Lytechinus pictus: one gene and its partner. Each later gene encodes a partner of the first gene's protein in a complex. Links are inferred from orthologs where the notes say so. Each region holds a gene or a part of one and is shown in the gene's direction. Other genes may lie near its edges.

Region 1 (3,930 bases):
GTTCATAACATTGGAAAACCTGTCAAGAAAAGTGATCTCTTTTATTTGTGTTGAGCGTTTCCTGTTTTCATTGTGCTTTTTCTTTGTGTATATTGAAACCAATCTTCATATTTTTCCTATGTATTCAGTAAATACATATGTAGGGTCAATCAATTATATTGTGTGCTTCTGAATACCAATGTAGCCCAACATTTCTTTCCACTTATCTTCCTTTAAATATCTTGTGTGATTATAATGTCTGTTACAATGTTTAGCCTCTGAATCCAATCCACATTCTTATTCAAGCTTGTTTTTACATGTATTTTTCTCTTCAGCTTTCAAGCTGTTCAGTGGTCTCATTATCTAAGCTTTCTTAGCCAGATAAATGAGGTTAACCATGCTATTAAAATTATATATATCCAATGCAAGTGTTCACAATATTTTGTATCTCATGTATGCTGGGTGTGTAATTATTTTTTATACGTGTTAGCTATTTTAAGCTATTTTAAGAATGATCTTTTCTATCCTATAATCTTTCTTAACCTTTTGCCTTCTGAAGCCTGTTGGCCCCTGTAAGATGACTACGACCCCTGTTACATCTGAAAGTTTCCTACCCGAGACCCGACCGAGTCCACTTGCAACCTTGACTGGATTATTGGTGGATTAGTTTCGCGAACGGACCGAGTCCGAAATGTGGTCTGTTTACATCACAGCGTTCATTCCCTCCCCTATCGGTACGGTTTCGAGCGGTATCCGATTGCTGACACCAAAGGGCGCTCTCGATCTAGGCTCTGAATAATTTGCGCGCGCTAATTGAAGTTGTTTACATTTCGTTACACTAGTCGGCTGCTACACAAAAATGACAGGGTGGGACATGTGCCGATCATTTCCAGAGAGTCGAAACGACTCTTTACCTTTACCCGAGATTCTGGAAGAATGCTGATGATCCCAGCAGTCGTTGAAGATATGATCGACTTGAAAAGGATACGTTTAGAATGCTTCCTTCTTTCCACTCAAATCAAAGACTTTATCAATCACAATTCACATGTCGCATGCCGCAAAACATTCGAAGAACGACGGGGCTGGGGAGGGGATAGCGCGCGCTATGACGTAATTTGACAGCTGGCGAACGGACCGAGATAGGTTCGAAAGCTGGTGTGCGTTTACATCTACGAATCGGTGGACCGGGGCCGGCCCGATACTTACCCGAGACTACCTCTGGATGTGGTCTCCGGTAGGTTCGCTAAAAGGTGGCCTGAGGTAGGTTTGGGATGTTTACATCTGATTTCTTTCCGACCCGAGGTAGGCCCCGGGCCGGCCCGAGGTAGGGAATCTCTCAGATGTAACAGGGGTCTACGGCTGCATTATATTTAAATCATCATTTTTTTACCCTAGAATTACAGATAATTAAATCACAACTGCATTCATTCTATTTTCGTCTGTTGTATGAATTATCATTTTACGTCTTTTTAAATGCCAACATGAAAAGCTGAAAAATTTCAAGATTTTTAGAATCAATGTTTTTATAGTAACACTTTTATAAAACTTTGTAACATATTTGATGTACATTACAGTATACAAACCCTTATGTTTAGCTTGAGTGTTTTCTTTCATTTCCACCACCATTTCCCCCCCTCCCCCTTGCAGGGAGTTATCTAACGGATGGCTACCTTACGGGCGGTATCCGCATGCTGTATCCGAGCTGCTATGTGCTGGTACCTCAGAGCGAGTTCTCCCATCACCATGCGATGGCTGTTCAGGCTGGTGGCTACATCCCACCACCCTCCATGGGGCTAGGGCATGGCAAGATCAATGGACCTGCAACTCCTGGTCAGTATACTTACTTATATGCAAAGAATCCCCCCAAAGAAAATAATGAAACAAAGAAAATCACCCAAATCACGAACAACTTGCTATTTTAGCAGTTACGTTAGTTAGAATTTAGAGATTTACCTAAGTGAAGAAAAGAAAAGAAAAAATTGACCAAAACCCTCTCACCCCCCCAAAAAAAAATTCTTACCCTGCTTATGGGTGAAAATTCGCCACTTGATGGGTTGGAGATGGTGAATGACATATCGCAAATCGGTCCTTATCATCTAGAGAGGAGTGATAATGAAGTACTAATGTGTCAACGTCCTTTCGAGATGGTGGCATTATAAATAAAGGCTGCTTTGCTCAAGCTCGGATATGTATGAAGTTCTGTGAGCTCATTTTTCCAGTGATCATATGATATTAATCAACTAGTTAAATCAGCACAAAAATAAGAAAATGTATATTGATTTAACTTTCTTAGACATTGATATGTATAATACTTTGTTCAAAGTGTAAATACGTGGTATACACCATGGACCACCAACCTTTTGAATTGATAGGTCCAGTCATTGTATTACATGTATACCACAGGCAGTAATGATACCTTGCACTGAGTGAAACCTTTAGGTCTATCTGTAGTGAAACCTGTCTTTAAAGACCACCCAATGTATAGATGGAAAGTTGCCTTTTTGAGCAAATGGTCTCTCTGGACACTAATAATTATAATAATACAATTTGAGGGAAGCAGAGCATGGTCTTTTTAGACAGGTGGTCTTAAAAGCAGGTTTGACTGCATTGGATTATTAGTCCCTAGGCCCGAGGCATTGCATTTATTTGAGAAATGTTTAACTGCAATAAAAAAAATGGGCGGTCAGGATTAACCAGCGTGGGGGGGGGGGGGTGTTAGGGGACAGAAAAAAAGGCTTGACACATAGTACAATGGCATGATGTCATACTGTCTAATTAAGAGATGACATTATGTCTCTGTGTTCCAAGATAAAGTAATGGCATATGTTGCAAACATTCACTTTATAATTATTTCTCTATTGTTTGTCCCATTAACCATATTTTGTTTTAAATGCACAGATGTTATAGAAGTGCTAGAGAGCACTTGATTCACACTCTGTGTCATTACAATGAAGAGGAAACAGTGAAGAGACTAGGATCAGTTCTAAATTTAGAGCTAAAAAGGCTTATATCCATTTTTGGTTTCTAAAAGAATGGTGACAAGGCCGACATAGTTTCAAATGGGTTTGGAAACAAGTCTAGCATGATTACTTGCTTTCTCAATTTACATGTACCTTGTAGGTTTGGAGAAGCTTTAGAACACATTTCAAACTCATCTCCTATAGTCTCAAATTCAGACTGCAACTAGACTAAATGAGGGTACCATCTGTGAAGTAGGAAATGTCTGTGATGCCATTAAGTATTGATGATTTTGTGGTGCATGGGAAATATTCAAATGCTTGTGCAACCCGACCATGAAGAAAAGGAATTATGTGTTCATGAAGATTTATTACTACCAGGATTATGCACAAATTAGATTGTTATGCAGATGATATTCTGCTACACTGCACCGATAGATTGATTGTGAAAATTGATCAGGTAAATGCATAATGTTCCAGTTGCGTACACATTAGAGATAAAGACACCTATCAAAGAAAAAGAAAAAGAAGAAACAGAGGTTTCCATAGTTCTGTCAGAAGCCAGTACAAACACATATACAACTTAATTTGAAACATTTCCGGGCCCAGTCTTACAAAAAGTTTATATTGGTTAAAATCCAACTTCTTATCTTTACACCGTACAATTTGAGATCAATTTCAATTTCAATTTCATGAGTCTATTTCAACTCTTTGGAGTATACCCTAGGGTCTTGAAATTTCAATTAAAATGACAGTAAACTTTGCTTGCAAACTTTCCCCTAATTAAAGCATTTTTTAATAATACAGTCAACAAGTCATCCTTCCAAAAGTAGAATAATTACGAAAGTCAAAACAGGTTTTAAGACCAAATTATGCAAAGAGTACATTATTTTCCTATTAATATTTTTTCACCTAAGTCTAACAGACTTATTACCAAAGGGAATGGAGAGATTTAGGCAGATTCGTTTATATTATGCAAAGGGGTGGATGAGAT
Region 2 (3,930 bases), on another chromosome or scaffold:
TCTCACTACGTTCCTAAAACTAGTTTACTGGAAACTAGTTTAACGCGTAGTGAGAACGTTCAAAGCGGTCTTGGAAGCGATCTTCCAAACCAGTTTGGAAAACTACCTCGCGATGTAGTTTTCAAGATCGCTTTGCCTCGTTAAACTGGTTTTAGCGTAAGTGAGGACACAACCGTTCTTCGGGAAGCGATCTTCGCACATTTTGAGCGCGCTACTCCACACGACAGGTGTAGAATGCCCATGCTGCGGTTTCGAATTTCGCGTGAAACGTGTCACCCCACTGAGAGCATTTCCATAGCAACAAGAGCGCTTTACGTGAAGTGATTTTGAAAACCACTTTCGTGTGATCAAGTGGGAACGCTAGCAAAGCGATCTTCCAAAGTGGTATCCTGAATCGGTTTCCAGTAAACTAGTTTTAGAAAGCGTAATGAGAACGGCCTCTTTTTCATTACTTTCATGTTTGCAATTTGGAAGAAGTCCATATATTCCCACATCCAACAGAAAATTGATTGGACACAACTGTGGTAGATGTCCTTGAAAAGATTGGGTAAAAAAGCAGTGAGTGAACGCAACCTTTATACACAAAGGCACATTCAGACAGCCTGAAGTTCGAGAATACCAGGAATTTTCTGATCATGAAATTTACTGTGATCTTGCTGATCAGAAAATATCAGGTATCTTTGGCAGTGTGAAAGCAAATTACCTGTACTCTAAATTAATATTCCTGAAAGAAAAATACCCTCTTTTTTTTCCAAGGTTGCAGGTAATTTTGCAGTGTAAAAGCAGATTACAAGAAGTTTCTCAACTTGACGAGTAGTTGGTCGCTGGCTCCTTTGGCTGCATACCTAGTGATTTGGAATCATGCTAATTAGACCATACTGTGGATGCTTTAAAACTTCAATAACTTACCCCTGAAAGTGTCTGCTTCTGGTTGATGCGAATGCAGAAAATAATTATCCTGTATATTTTAGCCTGAACAAGTTTTTATAATTTATTGGGTATTCTGGTGATTAAGTTGGTCTGAATACACCCAATGTACGATGTAATGCCTGGTTTTCTCAAGTACATTATGTACACTCTAGAAGAAATTCAGTGAAATTTATTACTCTCATTACTGTTTCATATATAGCCATTTTTGCAATGTCCTATCATGTCTGAATTTCTTTAAAACACGTACATGCTCAAAAATCACTCCTCCATAAAGTCTAGGGATGATTATTTCTTTTCTCTTTTTTATATTTTATATTTTCATTATTACCTCTCCATAAAGTCTAGACATTGCAAAGTCTATTCAATTGTCTTTTCTGTTTTGTGTTTTCATTGTTCCCAGTAAACTCATAAAAAAGTTTACTGGTATTTGTTAAAGATTAATTAATGTGCTTATCATTGATTTTTTTTCTTTCTTTTTAGTTTGGTGTGTATTTTAGTGCAATAGTAGCAGAGAAGCAGAAACTCAACACTTTTCAAGATACAGGAAAGAAAAGGCAGCCAATATCCAAAGACAACTTTGTTCTTGTAAGTATTATGAAAAGCCGAGTATTTGTAGGATTTCTTTCTACTTTTGTTTGTTTGTTAATTGCATTTTGTTCTGGGGGGAGGGGCTAGATACTCATTTGCTTGTGTACTTTCATTTTATCACTTCATTCTCAAATTATGTACTTCAATTTTGATGTATTGATTCAATTCATTTCATATTGTTTGTTTCTTTTTTATTCATTTATTTTTTTCTTTATTCCCCCTCCCCGTTGGGATCTGTCTGTGGGTGTGCGATTGTTCCAGTTATTTTGTTTTTAACTTCCTGTACATAGCTACTTTGTGATCAAGCCAATCACTTGAGCATGCCTGTGAAGGACATGTGTAATAAACTTGGAAGTTTGTTTAATTCCATTTCATCTCATTTCATTGGTCTTTCTTTTGCCATTTTGTGACTTTAGATTCTGAAACCAATACATGTGAGGGCTACATGTGCATGTATATATATATATTATCTGTGATTGAACCATGTGCTTACATGTAGTAAAGATTATTGAAGCTAGCCTGTGTAAAAATATTGTTCATTTTGACCAAGTGGAATTTGTGCAGTACCCTAGTAAAGTTTGATCAGTTTCTTTTAGAACCCAGCTTATATTGTCCTGTCCCATTTCCACAAATCATTATGTTTTTGTTTTTTTTGGGGGTACCATTTTAAGGACGTTCCACAGTTAAAGTGAAATCCATGTCATTTTCACCAAACTTTGCACATAGATACTTCAGAACCTTAATATTCGAAATATGCAAAAATTAACAGAGGTCCATGTGCTTGATTTTTTGCTATAGAGCTTCAAAGTTCACCCAAATTGATGTTCTTAAGAATTGCGCATTCAAAAGAATTTGGCATTTTTAGACCGCCCAAGATTACTACAATGAGTTTAAACCTCTATTACTCACTCCAGTCAAAATACATGAAAAAGTCATCAAATTTCGCAAGAGGGTTGATAATTGTGTCGTTAAATGGAGAATCTATTTATAGTGCTATTTGTTCGCAATTTTAAGTTTAACACCACTGTCAGTTCTTAAAAATGGCGTAAAAGATAACAAAATCCTAATCTAAAAAATGTAAAATTTCAGTAACAAACTACAAACGTACAATAAATGCTGCACTTTATTCAAAATCCATGTCATTTTCACCAAAATTTGCAGAGTTGTAGAGGAAGGTATACCTAAGAGGTACAAACATTAAAAAATAGGGGTTCATGTGCTTGTTTTTAAACTATCAGCATTTTTATTAGAGTAAATGTGAATTTTAAAACACCAAAAATGCGCCGAATGCTTAGTATCTATGTGAAGTAAAAATCAAAACCACTCTACCATTTATTCAAACTCGGGGTAATATTCGTGATTCTTGGCAGCACTACAGAGAAAAATATTTTGAAATCGTAAAGAATACTTTTTTGAATGGTCCATGGAATAATTCGATTTTTTAGCTTCATGAAATAACGTAGTTAAAGTGCAGAAGATGAGAAAAATCAGCTCATACCCGCAGCTAATTAATCACCTGTTCATCCATTGTGACGTCAGCGCGCAGAGTGTAAACTATGCGCAGATCATAATGCGCACAAACATAATTGAGGAACGTCCTTAAGCCAATATAACTCACTTCTTTACATGTCATAAATTGTGTAAATGGATTAATGTGTATGGCAAGTTCGGGTACTTGGGCTCATGTGGGTAACATAATACAATACTTTCTGTATCTGAACCATGGTTGCCTGTCGTTAAATAAAACATACATGTAGTAGTACGAGTACCAGGATAATTTTAGTGCACTTTTCGTAACCTACTTGAACCACTTTCAAATTAAATATATCATTTTAAACTTGAGATATTGGATTCTCCTTCAAAATTTGAAGAGGAGTCCACTCTTGTATCAAGTTACATGTAGCTTCTTTAGACAGCGCAAAAGACAATGCTTTCTCTTGATTTTTTTCTCTTTTTTTGCAAGGGGGAGGCTGTGAATATTGATTATAATAATAATATAATAATATAGGTATATTTACCCAGGGTTACCCAGGGTAGCCACTTCAGTTTCGAAAACTGTTCTACCAGCGGGCCCTGCTATTATCATTACCCCGGCCTTAGCTGAGCTGCCTAGGCGCTCAAGCATTCAAGGAATTTCTTCCTACCGGGTACCCATTCACCTCACCTGGGTTGAGTGCAGCACAATGTGGATGAGTTTCTTGCTGAAGTAAATTACGCCATGGCTGGGATTCGAACCCATGACCCTCTGTTTCAAAGTCAGAAGACTAATCCACTGGGCCACAAAGCTGAGAATATTACATGATGAAACTTTACTAGAAAAGAATTTGTTTAAGGAATACATTCATGGCTGTATGAAAAATTAGATCACAAAGACCTACATGTATAGTCAAATTGTTAAGGTGTGTGTGGGGG

The links.
Region 2: mediator of RNA polymerase II transcription subunit 13-like (region 1) and mediator of RNA polymerase II transcription subunit 12-like protein share a complex: the UniProt entries of both Drosophila melanogaster proteins name them as parts of the cdk8 module of the Mediator complex. The link is inferred for Lytechinus pictus from reciprocal best matches to the Drosophila melanogaster genes skd and kto.

The regions. Positions count from the first base shown.
Region 1 is NC_087246.1:19,873,041-19,876,970, forward strand, and holds the start of mediator of RNA polymerase II transcription subunit 13-like, read left to right. Parts: upstream 1-1,624; 5' UTR 1,625-1,667; coding exon 1,668-1,809; intron 1,810-3,930. UniProt on the Drosophila melanogaster protein: Component of the Mediator complex, a coactivator involved in the regulated transcription of nearly all RNA polymerase II-dependent genes.
Region 2 is NC_087260.1:27,736,881-27,740,810, reverse strand, and holds the start of mediator of RNA polymerase II transcription subunit 12-like protein, read left to right. Parts: upstream 1-1,414; 5' UTR 1,415-1,515; intron 1,516-3,930. UniProt on the Drosophila melanogaster protein: Component of the Mediator complex, a coactivator involved in regulated gene transcription of nearly all RNA polymerase II-dependent genes.